4 linked regions of the Rattus norvegicus genome follow. The protein of the gene in region 1 purifies or fractionates together with the protein of each later gene. This does not show direct contact. Links are inferred from orthologs where the notes say so. Each region holds a gene or a part of one and is shown in the gene's direction. Other genes may lie near its edges.

Region 1 (3,216 bases):
TCTCCTGTGTGCAGCGTAGAGATCTCAGGTGCTCTCCTGTGTGCAGCGTAGAGATCCCAGGTGTTCTCCTGTGTGCAGCGTAGAGATCCCAGGTGTTCTCCTGTGTGCAGCGGAGAGATCCCAGGTGCTCTCCTGTGTGCAGCGTAGAGATCTCAGGTGCTCTCCTGTGTGCAGCGGAGAGATCTCAGGTGCTCTCCTGTGTGCAGCATAAAGATCCCAGGTGCTCTCCTGTGTGCAGCGTAGAGATCACAGGTGTTCTCCTGTGTGCAGCGTAGAGATCACAGGTGTTCTCCTGTGTGCAGTGTAGAGATCTCAGGTGCTCTCCTGTGTGCAGCGGAGAGATCTCAGGTGTTCTCCTGTGTGCAGCGTAGAGATCCTCCTGTGTGCAGCGTAGAGATCACAGGTGCTCTCTTGGGAAGCCTGCCTTCCCTCCCTGCTCTGTAGTCTCTGAGGGCGTGCCTGCTTGGAGGGTGGCAGGCAGCCAGGGTTTTGGTTGCTCACAGTGCCATGTACTTACTTAAGCATCTGTTGGTTGATAGTCCCTGACTCCCAGCTGGAAAAGGGGGACCATCTGTGCCCCGAGATGCTGGAAGCGGCTAGAACGGCCAGATGTCCAAGCAGCTGGGAGTAGCTCAGACAGCAGACCTGAGCAGGTTTATACCCTTCCTTGGGAGCTCCTGACTGCACTCTTATCCCCACTTGGGGCCCTGAAGGCCCTGGAACTGTTGTCCCCTAGGGACGTGTGACTAAACCTCTTAACAACAGCTGTGCTCTTCAGCCTTCCAGCCGGCAAACCGTTCTTTGCATGCATCTCGGCAGGCAGGCAGCCTGTACTCCTTTCCTCTCTCTCTGCCCTCTCCCCTTGACCCGTGCCCTCAGCATGTCCTCCTCCTCCCTGTCGGTGTTGCAGATGAGATCGCCTCAGGACCAGTTTCCTTGCAGACTCTGAAGCCGGTAGCTGACAGAGCGAACCCCAGGATGGGTGTAGGGATGCTGGCTTTCAGCTCAGACAGCTACTTCCTGGCATCAAGAAATGGTCAGTGTGACACTCATAGGCAGGGTCCGCTGTTCACAGCCCCTTGACACCAAGAGTAGAGATAATGGAGAAACAGCTCGGGGCAGCTGTGTGCTCTTCTCCCTGATTTTCTGTGGAAATAGACATTCTGCACAGCATTGCCTGGCTGCCTGACTGCCCCCTCCTGCACACCTACCTCACTGTGCAGGAACAGAGGGCCAGCACTGACCTCTATGGTTCTGGATTTATTTGCATTTTGGGGGGTGCGTGCCTTTTTGATAGTTTGTCTTTTTTATTTACTTTATATCCTGACCACAGCGCCCCCTCCTTCCTCTCCTCCCAGTCCCACCCTTACAAGTCCTTCCCACCATTGTCCCCTCTCACTCTCCTCAGAGGACGACTCCCCACCCCCACCCTTGGTTACCACCCCAGCAAGACCTAGGCACATCCTCTCCCACTGAGGCCCAACTAAACCCAGGTAGGGGAAGGGGATCCAGTGGCACCAGCTGGACCTAGGCCCCCTACATGTAGCACACGTGCAGCTTGGTCTTCATGTAGATCCCCTAACAAGTGGAGTGGGGGGGCTGTCTTGTTTGCACTTTTTACATCTACAGATGTAAAAACCACAGGAAAAAGAAGGGTTGTGGCCTTGGGCGGCCTTTCCTTTGTTCTGGGTGCTGGTCCCAGAGAACAGCAGGGTTTGCTTCAGAGGCCAGCACTCACATGTGTCTTCTTTCTGCTTCCTTGCAGACAATGTCCCCAATGCTGTCTGGATCTGGGACATTCAGAAGCTGAAGCTGTTTGTGGTCCTAGAGCATATGTCTCCAGTGCGCTCATTTCAGTGGGACCCACGGCAACCAAGGCTGGCCATCTGCACAGGAGGAAGCAAGGTGTACCTGTGGTCCCCAGCAGGCTGTGTGTCGGTGCAGGTACCCGGGGAAGGTGAGCATAAGCCAGCACATGGTGGTCCAGCATATGCTGGCCTCAGGTTGATCTGCCATGTCATGCATTTGTGAAAGGTGCCCCTCCATATCTTGCAGGGCCTTGCCTAGAGTGTCCCTGACAGGAACCTACACCCTAAGCTTTCCTGGCTTTGTCTTCAGCCCTGGGGTTACCAGACTCCTCCCTCATCCACAGGCGCCCTCCCCACAAGTCCTACTTCCTAACCCTCTGGCCACCTGTCTCTCTAGGTGACTTTCCAGTGCTTGGACTGTGCTGGCATTTAAGTGGGGATTCCTTGGCCCTCCTTGGTAAGGATCACTTCTGTCTTTGCTTCCTGGAGACCAAGGAGAGGGGCACAGCCTATGGACAACGGGATGGCATGCCTAGGACCTGAAGGGAAACTGAGGCAGCAGACTCTGCAGACCCCCATATGAGGAACAGCTGTACAGGCTCTCTGGACAGGATGGACTATTCTGCCCAATTTTCTGTAAATATGTATAAAGTTATCATGTAAAATAGGTATTTGTTAATCCCTGGAACAGTGGTGGTCCTTTTCTTCAAGGCCTTAGCTCAGGGGTCCAAGGTCTGTCTTGGGAGGATGGAGTATCCTGAAGTAATGACAGCAACCTGCCTTATCATCCTTTGTTGTTCCCGAGCCGCTTCCAGTCAGTATGCTGTGGGACAGGGGTGGACGGTCAGCCCTCCTGCAGCTGCAAGGCCCCAACGTCTGCACCTGTCCCCATGTGAGCTGTGAATCCCACAACAGTTGGACAGGTCTCTCTGGCCTTGCATGCAAGTTCTGCAGGGAGGCCTGGGTCCCTGCCAGGAAGAGTGGAAGTGCTCAGCCTACCCAACATGCCTCTATCTCTAACAAGTGCCTTGAAAGCAGACAGACCAGCATGTCCACACTGGTGGCCATCTGAGTTTCTGTAAGGAGGACTGAGCTAGCAAGGGTCCACAGCCAGCCAGGTGCAGCCTCAGGCCTCAAGACAGTCTTTGGCACACCTGTTTTTGTGACAATAACTTCAAAAAGGAGCAACTCCATTTGGTTTTAATTGTCTTTACTAGAACAAAAGCACAGGCTGAAGACAGGTGCATCTGAGGTCACCTTTCCTCTTGAACAGGCCATGACATTCTGCTCACATCCATGCCGGTTAACTTAAAGCTAGAGGTATAAAGTGACATCTACAGTGTATTTGCAAGGCCAGAGCTACAGTGGCAAGCTGCATGTGGCTGCGCGCCAAAGCTCAGTGGTGCTC
Region 2 (3,730 bases), on another chromosome or scaffold:
ATGGCTCAGTGAGCAAGAGCTCTCTGCCTAAGTGTGAGGGTCCGAGGAAGGAAGGACTTCTGACACACATGACATCTCTGCCTGGGCACAGACGCTGATCTCGGAAGATAGGAGGACCATGGGGCCCTCAGTCTATCCACATGCTCTGCTTGAGTTTCAGTTGAGAGACCCTTTCTCAAGCAATAAGACAGAAAGTGAGAGAGGACACCCAATTGTCATTCTTTGGCTTATGCACAGCATACATACATGTCTATACCACACACACACACACACACACACACACAAATTTGGTAGCCTCTGATGTGCTGTCTGGAAGCAGTATTTGATTTTAAACCATTTAGTCTTTTTTTTCATGTGAAGATACCTGTGTTATAAAGTCTGTAAAGTAAATGTAAGGCTGTCACTTTTGCTCTTTGCATTAAATAAATATGCTACACAGTTTTCCCATTTAAAACATGCAGGTTACTTGATTATACCAGAGTGGTTCCAATCAGGAACTCACAAATACGTTTGCAGAATGCCCTCCCATCTTTGTCCACATTTCTAAAGTTCTCTTGAAGAACTATGGCTTTGCTACCAACTATATTTAGAAGCCAAACATTTTTTTTTTAACCAAGAAAAACTCTGACATTGCTTAACCAAATTCTTGTAGTAGCAAACTTTGTCTTACGATGACGAGGTTTGTCCCTGTGGCTTTTGTCCTGCAGTGCGGGAGCTGAAGGCAGTGTGCTTTGGGACTTGAGTTAATTGCAGTGAGGGGGTCAATATTCAGCAGTTGTATCTTTTAGAGCCCTTCCTACCCTGAGATGTGATGATTCTGTATTTACCTTTGCTCTTGTCTGCTTCTGTCGGGAGCAAGAGATCATACGAGTGCTATGCTGGGGAGAAGTTGGGCTAGGGGTTGAGGAGGTGGCGCACTGAGTGGCTCTCTAGGACCCACAGTTGACTGTACAGGGTACTGTTCCTGACAACTTCTTGTACTCCTTCACACAATTTACTGCTGATACATTTTCTTAGTTTTAATTATTTTTGTAATTAAGAAAGGGAAGAAAAAGAATAGTTTTTAAAAAAGCTTTCCTTCTCAAATAGCTTTCTGCACACAGACAGCTCTCCAATTCTTCTCAATCAGTTAGTATGGAAGTTACCAAGAAAATAACTAGGGCTCTGAGGGAGTTTGAAGAAGTAAAGGGATTTTTCATGGTGTCCTATGAAAATAGTTTCCTATGAGAATTCTCACTCATCATAGAATTAATGAACTGGGATAGTCTTAGTAAGTCTGTGCCTCCAGCCCCAGATGCATTCCCCACCTGTACTAGCCGCTCAAAAATTGTTTTCTCAACTGAACCCAGCACCCACACTTGACAGAAGAATGGGAAAGGGATAGTCCCAGGTAACAAGTGCATTTTTGATGTTCTTTCTCGTTACTCTCAAATCTACCCCTTCAGAAAGTATAAAAAATGTTTTTATGCGTAGTATGTTGGAACCACAAGCACTGACTTCGTATTTCAAAGTTGGAAGAAATGAGATTGATGTCCCACACAGTTGTAAAATACCGAAAATAGGAGAGCTGGAGTGAATTAGAGCCCAGTGTTGAGAAAGGCCAAGAGAAAGCTTCATATCAGCAGCGACTGTAATTGAAAGGCTCCAAATAAGTATTTAAAACCTCCCCTCCTGAGACGTCTGGATTTCTGAATTTCAAATTGACATTTTATGTTTGACAAGGTGACATTGTATAAGAAATGTATTGTAAAACACTGCTGTACGATAGGAAAATGATTGAATGTAAATATTTCAAGATGTGGACCACTGTTCAAATGTTATCATAAATCTTCGCCATTGTTTTAGGGGATAACTCTTCATGCATATGTGAGCTGGATTGATAGCTAGCTCTTGGAGGGGAAATCATCAGCGGGTTTCTGCCTTTGTCTCAGACATTGGTCTGATTTCACTACTAAAACGTCTGACTAGTTTGTCTCTATTGTGTGCTTATTATTACTTCTTATTAGGATAGTCAATTTTTGAAGGTACTACACTGGACTTGCCTTTGTCCTACTCAGTAAGTGTTCTGAAATCTCACGTACATTACTGAAACCGTCACTATTATGTGGGTGGGGGTCACTGTTATGTGGGAGGGGGACAGCCTGAGCTATATCATTAACCTCCCTCCATTCTTTCCAGGTTTGGAAGGTTTACAGTTGCTGCTCTTCAGTCCAAAGTAGAACAGTATGAACGTGAAACCAATCGCCTCAAGAAAGCTCTAGAACGAAGCGATAAATACATAGAGGAACTGGAGTCTCAGGTAGCACAGCTGAGGCACTCGGAGGAGACAGAGGAAGGCATGGGTGCCCTGTGCCAGAGGGCGCCCTCTGCAGATGGCAAGGGGCCCAAAGGCAGCGATGACGTTGCAGCATCCAAGAATCCGAGTGAAGGTGCTGGAAAGCAGGCTGGCTCAGCCAATTCAGCCTCTCACCTGGCCACACCCTCGAGCAGCAGACTAGCTGACACCAGTTCTGCCAGACAGGAGAGCACCAGCAGGACTGAACCAAACTGTCTCCAAAACAAAGACAGATACCCCAAGCCCACAGAAGCACAGCTGGGTGCGAGAGAGACACCGATGGACACTTATTTGGAGCGACAGTGGGGCAGCAAGCCAAGCGACTGCGCTCCTTACAAGGAGGAAGAGCTTTATGGTCTCCAGGCTTCCTGCACTCCCTTGTCGCTCAGCTGCCTTCAGCTCAACACTCCAGAAAACAGGGAGAACCCTGTGATCAAAGCAGGTGGTTCCAAAAAGCATGCAAACCATCTCAGAAAACTGGTATTTGATGATTTCTGTGATTCTCCAAACACCTGTAATAACAATTCTTCAGAGGACGATAGAAGTGGAAATGAGAAGAAATCAGACTGCTTTGCTTCCTCAAAGACAGAGTTTTGGGATTGTTGCTCCACAAGCTATGCCCAGAGCTTAGAGTTTGATGGTTCAGAGGGGAATACAATTGCAAATCCTGTTGGGGAAGTACCTTCAAAGTTGAGTGAGAAGTCAGGATTCTGCTTGTCCAAGAGACTGAGTTGTATTCGCTCCCTGGAAATGAACCGGACAAGGACCTCCAGCGAGGCCTCCATGGATGCTGCTTATCTTGACAAAATCTCTGAGCTGGATTCCATGATGTCAGAGTCTGACAACAGCAAGAGCCCTTGCAATAACGGTTTCAAATCAGTGGAGTCAGAGGGGTCCTCAAAGTCACCTCAAGGCAGGGAGTTTCTTGAGGAACCTGACAAGTTACAAGAAGGAGCTAAACTGAGTCTTCCCAAAAATGCCCTCGAAGCTGATGGGTTAGAAGGTGGGAGTGAGTGGAAACCCTCCTCTTTCTTTCTCCTCTCTCCATCTGACCATGAAATGAGTGAAGATTTTTCTCTCCACACTACTTCTCATTCGGGAGCTAGTGAAGTCAAATCACAAAACTGTTTGTTTCAGACAGAGTTTTCCCAGGGTGTTCAGCTGTTAAGCAGTTCCCAAGGATTATTCGAGGATCAGAGGTTTGGGTCGTCTTTATTTAAGATGTCCTCAGATATGCAGAGTCTTCCCGGCCCCCTTCAGTCTCCGTGGTCTGCCGCCTTCGTGTCTGAGAAGAGGAGCAAGAATGGGAACCAGTCCGCAAAGCGAAAGATACAGAGCAGCCTCTCCAACGCCAGCCCATCCAAGGCCACCAAAAGCTGACTCACCAGGGACATA
Region 3 (4,345 bases), on another chromosome or scaffold:
CAAAGGCATTAAGATGTTTTTTGAGATAGGAAAAAGAATGATGTTTTGGAGAGTAGACAAATGAACTTTCAGAACACCCTTTGGGTGCAGAGAGAGCAACCACACCCCATTAATGGTCTGACTTAGCAAGTCAATCACTGGCCGTAATTCTCACTAGCGCTGCTCTCCAAAGCATTTTTGTAATGATGTGTCTGTCCTTGCTACCTGTGTTCAGCATCTAATCTGTCTCCCTCCTCTTCTAACGCTCATGTCTGCACTCTGATCCACTTCTCAGCATTGAGGGTATGTGTAGTTCTTCTCTCTCGTTCTTCTGTGGCAGTGAGGTATTCCTTGTTTTCCTTTTATGCTGTTTTGGTCTCAAATTGTTAACAGGAGCCACTTAACCCCAAACTTTTTTCTCCTCGAGTAAACACCTCGCTAGAAAACCCCAAACTTCTTTTTCTCCTCGAGTAAACACCTCGCTAGAACTCCACCACCCCGCCCTTTACTATGGATTCTCCATTTTCCTTTCTGGAGGAACTTTTGGTAGAGATAGTAGGGAGGTAGGTGGATCTGGCCAATTGCAGCTGTCATACATTTTCTTTGCACTCAGTGAGTGGGCCTAGGGAGTTTTTCCATCAACTTCTAGTTCACAAGTACTGTTGTTTCTTCATTTCCCTTTCCAGCTGTCTCCTCCCTAGGTTCCTTTCTTTGCTTAATTTTATTCACTACTCGAGCTTTACTAGCCCAGGCTAGCCTCGAGCTCCCAATGACCTTGAACTTCAGTTCTGCTGGTTCACAGACCTGCAACCTCACGCACGCTGTGTGCAGTCCTGCGGCCTGAACTCGGGGTTTCTTGCCCACTACCCCGGCTCTGGTTTTCCACTGATTTTTGTGCCATTGGTGTGTTGATTCCCGAGGCCACTTGACCTTCCTTCTCCAGTGCCTGACCCAATTCTGGATGCCCGTTGGTGTCTCTCCGATCTGGGGAGCGCACCCGGTTCTCCTTGGGAGCGTTGGGGTTCAGGGTCGCCTCGGAGGCCGGGCTCTAAAGCGGCTAGGACCCTCCTCTTGTCCCCGCGGAGAGCTAGGGGCGGGGAGCGGCGGCCTGGTGAACCCGGGTGTAACAGGTGCGGTGGCCGCAGCTGCGCGGGGGAGAGCGGCTGGGGTTGTCGTAGGCTAGTCCTCGCTGGACCAATGCGGGCCGCGGTTGTTCGTCGCCTGGCAACCGGCGGAGCCAATGGGCGGCGCCAGCGCAGGGCGGGGTGGGATGGGCGCCCGCGGAGGAAAGCGGCGAGAGGCGGGCCGGGCGGACCCGGCGGGCTGGAGGCTGCGCGGAACCGCTGCGTGCCGCCGCGGGTGCGGGCCCGCGGGCTACGGGAGGCGTGAGCCGCTCCCGGTGCCGTGACGGTGAGCGGCGGGATTGTGACGCGCAGCCGGGGAGGGCGCCGGGCTGGACGTGGGCGCATGCACCCGGGCCGGCACTGGGCGGGCTCGTCGCGGCCGTTGCAGCGGTTGGAGAGCGTTGCTGCCAGCCGCCTGCAGCGGGAAGTGTGAGGTAGGTGCTGGGGACCCCGCGCCCTTGCGGGATTCGGCGGGGGCATGCGCGGGGTCCCTTCGGCCCGCGTGGGCTCGGCGATCCCTCAGAGGCTGCCGTAGGACTTAGCGAGTGAGGTCCGCCGTAGGTGGGTGCTTCATCGTGGTCCAGCCCCACGTTTAGGGGAAGAACTTACATCATCGCAGGGGTAGACTTGCTGGAGAAATTATTTGGCCTCGATTTTTCCAGTGGTGCACAGTGAGTGAATGGTGAGCTCTGTCTGGTCAGCACGTAATTTCTCCTAGTGCAGGTCGCTGGGTTATGCAAGTCACCTGGGCCCAGGAAATAAAACTTGCCAAAAAATTCCCCATCAGCACCAGTAGAGGAATCTTTTCATTAACCCCCACAGTGTATCAGATCCATAACCGGCAACGCTGATGCAGTTGTGAGAACTGGGAGTTCCTTCTAGACTGTATGAAAGGTGGAGTCCAAGGATGAGAGCCTCCTGGATTTAAGGTTTGCTTCCATTCGGAATAGAGTCCAGGCCTGGAGTCAGCTGGAAATAGTGCTGCCGTGGAGCCCGCAATCCGTGGAAGGAAATCTTTCTAGTCCATAATTTGATCTCGAACGGAAAGGTCCGTATATGACGTGACACACATTTACGAGGCTGGATAAAATTCGAAATGGTCGCTCCAGCCAGCAAAACTTAATCCATCCAATCTCCTTACTCCCCAAGAGCTTGTGGGCCCAGGAAGCGTAGTTTATTCAAACTAAACAAGGCAAGCTGCCATCCCTGTCGACACTTGGTCCTGCCTGGTGTGCATGAAAGTTCCTCATACAAAAAACGATTCTCTGAGAGGAGGATTAGGAATGGATAGAATTCAAACCAGGGCGTTTTTCTGGTGACTGCTGGGGCCCCTACAGCCTGTCATTTTACACCCTTCCTTTCCTTCTTGTTCTCCAGCTGTACAGGGAAGATAATAGGCCCAGGGATTAAGTAACCAGGCTGAAGCAGCTTGGAGATAACTGCAGAAGCTGGGTCACTCCAGGATGAAACGTGAAGCTTACTCCATGACACATTGAGCCTTGTGACAAGACCTGTTAAGTCCATAGCATCCTCGACTTGCTCAGGCAGGTGTACAGGACATGGAAAAGTTAACTGTTCCTGCTGTCCCTGAGACCTCAAACCCAGCCCAGTCAAATTAATGTACTTGGCCTCTCTTAAAAGTGGACAAACCAGCTTGTTGGCCCAAACCGGTTAGGATATACTGAATGTGCCCTCACTCAGCATTCAGCTAGAGGGGGTGGCTGGAGGGAGGGGAGGTGGACAGGGAGGGAGGTAGAGAGAGAGAGAGAGAGAGAGAGAGCGCGCAAGAGAGCAAGCAAGCTTGCCTAGAACTGTGGCTGCCCCAACCTTTTACTCCAGCTACCAGGAGACTGAGGTGAGGACAGCTTGAGCCTAGGAGTTCCAGACCTAGTAGAACAACACACACATCCTACTTAAAAACAAGCTCCCTCTCATTCTGAATGCCCTCACACAGTCCCTGGGGAACCAGACCAGGGCCATGGACATGCAAGGCAAGTGTTCTGTTGCTGAAACCCAGTGTGCCTTTATTTTGAGGCAAGGTTGCCTTGTTACTAGCTTGCCCAAGCAGTCTTTGAACTCCTGCCTCAGCCTCCCAGTAGCTGGACTTATAGCCCCGTATTTCTAGGCTCAGTTTCAAGAGCGAATTTTAGTGATAGCTTCCTGTATCTTTTACACTAGCTGTGAACTTACCTTGCTGGCTTACCCAATTGTTCATAACAAGAGGCTGTGTGAGTGTTCTGTGTCTTTAATTATGGTTAGGTGCTTATGAGCATACAGCTTACTTAGACTCATGAGCTTCTAGGATGAGACAGTACACCATCCGTTATTAGTAATGGGAAAACCTAGATTTATACGGTTTGATGCTGGTCCAGTATTTTGTGTAGTGTAGGAGCGATTCACTGTATGTTAATAAATTTATTCTTTCAGTAAACATTTATTATCAGACACTCAGCTGCCAACTGCCAGGCCTAAGGATAAAAAGATGTGTTGCTCTGAATATTGTTCTGGGGGGTGGGGTGGGTTGGTGTTGTGTGGAGAAGGGGAGAATGCAAATGTGGGAGGGCCTTAGCAAAGAAGGCATCTCAGCTGTGTCCTGACAGGCGCTCACCAACTGGTGCGAGCAGCCAAGCAGGTGCCGGTTACAGGTGGTTGGTGTCCTTGTGGCTGCTGCGTTAGTGACAAGCATTAATAACAGTGCTGTGACCCTTGACCAATAAGGAATATCCACACGGTTTTGTTGGGGATTATATTGCTTCTGATGTAGAGTATGTCTGCCCAAGTTAGTAATTTGCACAGTCTATGGGCTCTGGACCTTGATGGTCTAGATAAGACCTGAAAGCTTTCCCCAGGCTTAACTGAAGCTGACAGGAGCCTTAACAGTGCAGCAGTGGCTGCTCAAGCGGGTCCTCTGTGCCAGGGCTGGAGAGCCAAAGGTGATGAAGATGCAGCCACCATGGAATCCAGTCCCAGCCCAGGGCAGGCCCTGAGGGATGGGAGGTCCAAAAATCTGGGGTGGGAGCAGTGTGGGATTCAGAGAGGAGACTCTGGGATCAATAGCAAGTCTTAATGGAAACTGAAGAGACTGACTACAGTCCTGAGGTTGTGCGGCTGCATGCTTCTCCTTCCTCAGTCTCCCTAGTCAGATACTCCATCCATCAGCACTGGACTTGTCCTGTTTGTAATGGAGGAGGGATGCGAATACTATGACCTACTTCCTGATGTGATCAGTTGTGCTGGCTACA
Region 4 (3,730 bases), on another chromosome or scaffold:
GTGGATGAGAAGACGGAAAAGATCGCCAGCCTGCAAGACAGCCTCATTAGTAAAGTATGTATCTGCCACATGTTCTCAGCCTCTCAGCAGGAGAGCCTGTTACTCTCCACTCGAAATACACAGTTCTTACAGCCCTTGACGAGCTCCTGAGACCCACGGCTCTGTCTGTGACACACCTTGATTTCCTTCTAGCCTAGTAATCGGAATCCTTATGTTGGGATTTTGTCTGTTTCTAGAATGTGATTTGGTCTCATTAAAGCACACTTTGAGGAAGCCACTAAAGCTCTTCAGTGGTTAGAGATGCCAAGATGAGACACATAGATGGGCATAGAACTGTGTTTATTTAGAGGCTGCGTTTATGTGTAATTTATGCAATTGCACTTACCTAAATTTAGTTGATTATGCAAATTTAACTGAAGATGATTCTGAATGAATGACTAAAAAATCTTTTGTTTCTGTAATTTCTCCAGGAAAAAGCTATTACCCAGTTGAAGGTCACAGTCTCGGAGTGTGAATCGTCACTGAAGTGAGTAACCGATGAATGGTGTTCATGAGAAATCTCCAGCAAATGCGGCCTTCCTACTTAGCAGAGCCTGGAGCCAGGACTGCTTTCCTGTGAAGTTCCGGCTTTGCCTGTGGCTGCCTTGCTTCCTCAGTCCTGCTCTGACTTGCTCCCTGCTGCTGTTGGATGGCATTGCCTTCCTGCTTTACCCACTTGCTCTCCATGCTTACATAGTCACCTGTTCAAGTCCCAATAGCTCAACTTAGATAGTTTTAATGGCCAGCTCTTACATTTGCTCCTCAATTAAACCTATATTGATTATCTTAAATTTTTCATAATTTGTGTCTGGTCTCCAAAAAGATTTTAAGCTATCTAAAAAGAAAAGTCACTAATCATTTATTCTATGTGCCTTTATGTTTTATATAATAAAGGCAATGTAAACACTAAATATTTAATGTGGCTTTATATTGTATTTTCTAACACCTGAAAATGTTACGTTTGCTTAACTTGTATAATAATAATATTTATTTTGTGGCTCTATTTGTATATAACGGTTGATAGGAATCTAAAGTACCTGAGTATTTTCAGCCATGTCCAAAGGCAGCACTTAGGCTCTCCTGTACTCGCACACATATTGAGACTGCAGTCTTACTTCAAGTGACCTGGAGTTTTCCATAACAGTTTATTGCTACCCCACCACTCTTTCACAGCCAACTACAAGAAACTTTGACTAATCGAGACCGAGAGATAAACAGCCTCCGTCGCCAGCTTGATGCAACTCACAAGGAACTTGACGATGTTGGGAAATCTAGAGAGATCTCTTATAAGGAAAATAGAAGGTTACAAGATGACCTGGCCACAATGGCGAGAGAAAACCAGGTATGAAAGCAGGCAGAGATTTTTCATGAACTTATTACGTTTTGCTAAGTATTAAACTTCTAAATTCATTCTTCCAAAATGCAACAGGAGTGAATGCAAACAGGCTAACTCCTTGAGGGGAATGGTGTCTGTTGGCGTTAGCAAAGGTAGTTCTCAGAAAACAGCCAGCGCAGCGGTCTAGTCAGCGCAGCTACAGTCTCCTTTTCCATCTGGAGTTGAACCTCCCTGCTAGGACTTGGCTTGTTTGTTTGTTTGCTTGTTTCTTTGTTTAGACACAGGGTCACATGTAGCCCTTGAACTCCCTGTGTAGCCAAGGGATTCTGACTCTGGTCTTCTTCTGTCGCCTCTCAAGTGTGGGGATGGAAGGTATGTCATCAGGCCTGATAGCATTTAGTGTTTGCTACTAGGAAGCATGGTTTTTGTTGGGATAGACGGTATTGTCACAGGACTGGGTAGGGCACAGCATCACTCACTCTTAGGGCACCTCTTCTTAAAAGATATGAAGGACCGTGACAGGCTTTAGTAATTTGTGCTTCCTTCTATTGTCTTAGAGATGGATCTGTAAACAAACAAAGGTATATTTTAAAGGGCAGATATTGTAAGGTTTTGTCTATACTGGTTTATTACAAGATTATGCTGTGGAGACTGATGATTTCTTTTATGTAATATAAAAATTACTTTCAGTATTAGTCAATATCAACCATATTATAGTTATATCAGTTTTTTAATACCAACTACTGGCCCTGATTTAAGTTCAAATACAAGGTCAGAACTGTCATGGGAGTTTTATCACAAAGTTTGCTAAAAAAAAGTTTAGATCAGGGCTGGGGCGATGGCTCAGTGAGTAAGGGTGCTTGCTGTGAAATGAAAGTGAGATGTTCTGAGTTCAAATCCCCAACACCCATGCAAAAGGGCTGGCATGGCTTCCTGTGACCTCAGAGTTGGCCAGCCAGCCTCACTGAAATGGGGAGCTTTACTTTCAGTGAAAGATCTGTCTCAGGAGAATAGGGGGAGGATGGCAGAGAGCGATAACTGGCATCCTCTATTCTGTCTGCACATCAGCTTGTGCACCTATATACATAGGCTTTCAATGCACACACACACACACACACACACACACACACACACACACACACACACACACACACACCAGGCTAGCCATGGAAAAATAACCCAGTAAGAGGCTCTTCTTCCCCACATTTTTTTCTTCAGTTCCAAAGGCACTGTGTGCACATGACTGCAGGCTGACATTGGCTCTCTTTGCTCTGCTGACTTACAGGAGATCTCACTGGAACTGGAAGCAGCAGTGCAAGAGAAAGAAGAGATGAAGAGCAGGGTTCACAAGTATATCACTGAGGTGTCACGATGGGAGAGCCTAATGGCCGCGAAGGTGAAAAACTGTTCAGCTGGCATTTGAGACCAGCTTTTGTGTCTTTAATTCTGCCTCCAGCATTAAATGTTGGACATTTAAGGTTGGATATTAGATATTTAAAAGTAGAAGTCCTTCCTACTAACTTTATATTTCTCCATAGATCTTAGCATAGTAGCATAGTATCTATACATGTGCTGATGTTTCCTGAATTCAAGTAGCTCCCAGTGTGTGTGTGTGCACGTGTGTGTGTACACGTGTATGCGGTGTGTGTGTCTGTGTGTGCATGTATGTGCGTGTGTGTGTCTCTGTGTGTACACTCGTGGATGTGTGTGTCTGTGTGTATATGCACGTATGTGTGCACGTGTGTGTGTCTGTATACAGGTGTGTGCATGTATGTGCATGTGTGTGCATGTGTGTGTGTCTGTGCATGTGTGTGTCTGAGTGTGTGGGGCTGTGCATGTGTGATATAGATAGCTGTTCCATTGACGATACTGCCATAGAAATAATGTAATTGTTCTTAAAACAGGAAAAAGAAAACAAAGACTTGCTAGATAGATTCCAGATGCTTCACAACCGTGCTGAGGACTGGGAGATCAAAGCTCAGCAAGCGGAGGGGGAGAACAGCTCAGTCCGCCTAGAGCTGCTGTCTATTGATACAGAGAGAAGGCACCTGCGAGAGCGGGTGGAGCTCCTGGAGAAGGAGATCCAGGAGGTAAGGCGGTGCTGTCCAGGAAAGATGCCACTCAGAATGGACACATGAGGGGCACGACACACAGTGAGGCTGACCCCAGCTCAGAGCTAACACCCTGCTACTGTCACACTCTAGAGGGTGCCCCGTTCCTTTTCACAATGGTAGAGACAGGCGGCCATGTCACCACTCGTTAAGTGTGTGGTCCTGTGCGTTAAGTACAGTCTTACAGTGTGCCAATCTTCACCCTCTGGAGGACTTCCATGTTCCCCACACCCACCCAGTATCA

What was found.
Region 2: the proteins of Wrap73 (region 1) and Obi1 purify together in Homo sapiens (affinity purification with mass spectrometry; 3 studies listed by BioGRID and IntAct, counting the BioPlex papers as one, with this or other methods). This does not show direct contact. The link is inferred for Rattus norvegicus from reciprocal best matches to the Homo sapiens genes WRAP73 and OBI1.
Region 3: the proteins of Wrap73 (region 1) and Ssx2ip purify together in Homo sapiens (co-immunoprecipitation; 4 studies listed by BioGRID and IntAct, counting the BioPlex papers as one, with this or other methods). This does not show direct contact. The link is inferred for Rattus norvegicus from reciprocal best matches to the Homo sapiens genes WRAP73 and SSX2IP.
Region 4: the proteins of Wrap73 (region 1) and Cep135 purify together in Homo sapiens (co-immunoprecipitation; 6 studies listed by BioGRID and IntAct, counting the BioPlex papers as one, with this or other methods). This does not show direct contact. The link is inferred for Rattus norvegicus from reciprocal best matches to the Homo sapiens genes WRAP73 and CEP135.

Annotation. Positions count from the first base shown.
Region 1 is NC_086023.1:170,001,576-170,004,791, forward strand, and holds the end of Wrap73 (WD repeat-containing protein WRAP73), read left to right. Parts: intron 1-910; coding exon 911-1,036; intron 1,037-1,765; coding exon 1,766-1,957; intron 1,958-2,205; coding exon 2,206-2,351; 3' UTR 2,352-2,496; downstream 2,497-3,216.
Region 2 is NC_086033.1:87,685,223-87,688,952, reverse strand, and holds part of Obi1 (ORC ubiquitin ligase 1), read left to right. Parts: intron 1-2,178; coding exon 2,179-3,715; 3' UTR 3,716-3,730. UniProt on the Homo sapiens protein: E3 ubiquitin ligase essential for DNA replication origin activation during S phase.
Region 3 is NC_086020.1:237,957,036-237,961,380, forward strand, and holds the start of Ssx2ip (afadin- and alpha-actinin-binding protein), read left to right. Parts: upstream 1-1,428; 5' UTR 1,429-1,537; exon of another isoform or gene 1,538-2,151; intron 2,152-2,480; 5' UTR 2,481-2,647; intron 2,648-4,345. UniProt on the Homo sapiens protein: Belongs to an adhesion system, which plays a role in the organization of homotypic, interneuronal and heterotypic cell-cell adherens junctions (AJs).
Region 4 is NC_086032.1:31,904,988-31,908,717, reverse strand, and holds part of Cep135 (centrosomal protein of 135 kDa), read left to right. Parts: coding exon 1-54; intron 55-470; coding exon 471-526; intron 527-1,212; coding exon 1,213-1,381; intron 1,382-2,660; coding exon 2,661-2,771; intron 2,772-3,279; coding exon 3,280-3,465; intron 3,466-3,730. UniProt on the Homo sapiens protein: Centrosomal microtubule-binding protein involved in centriole biogenesis. Acts as a scaffolding protein during early centriole biogenesis.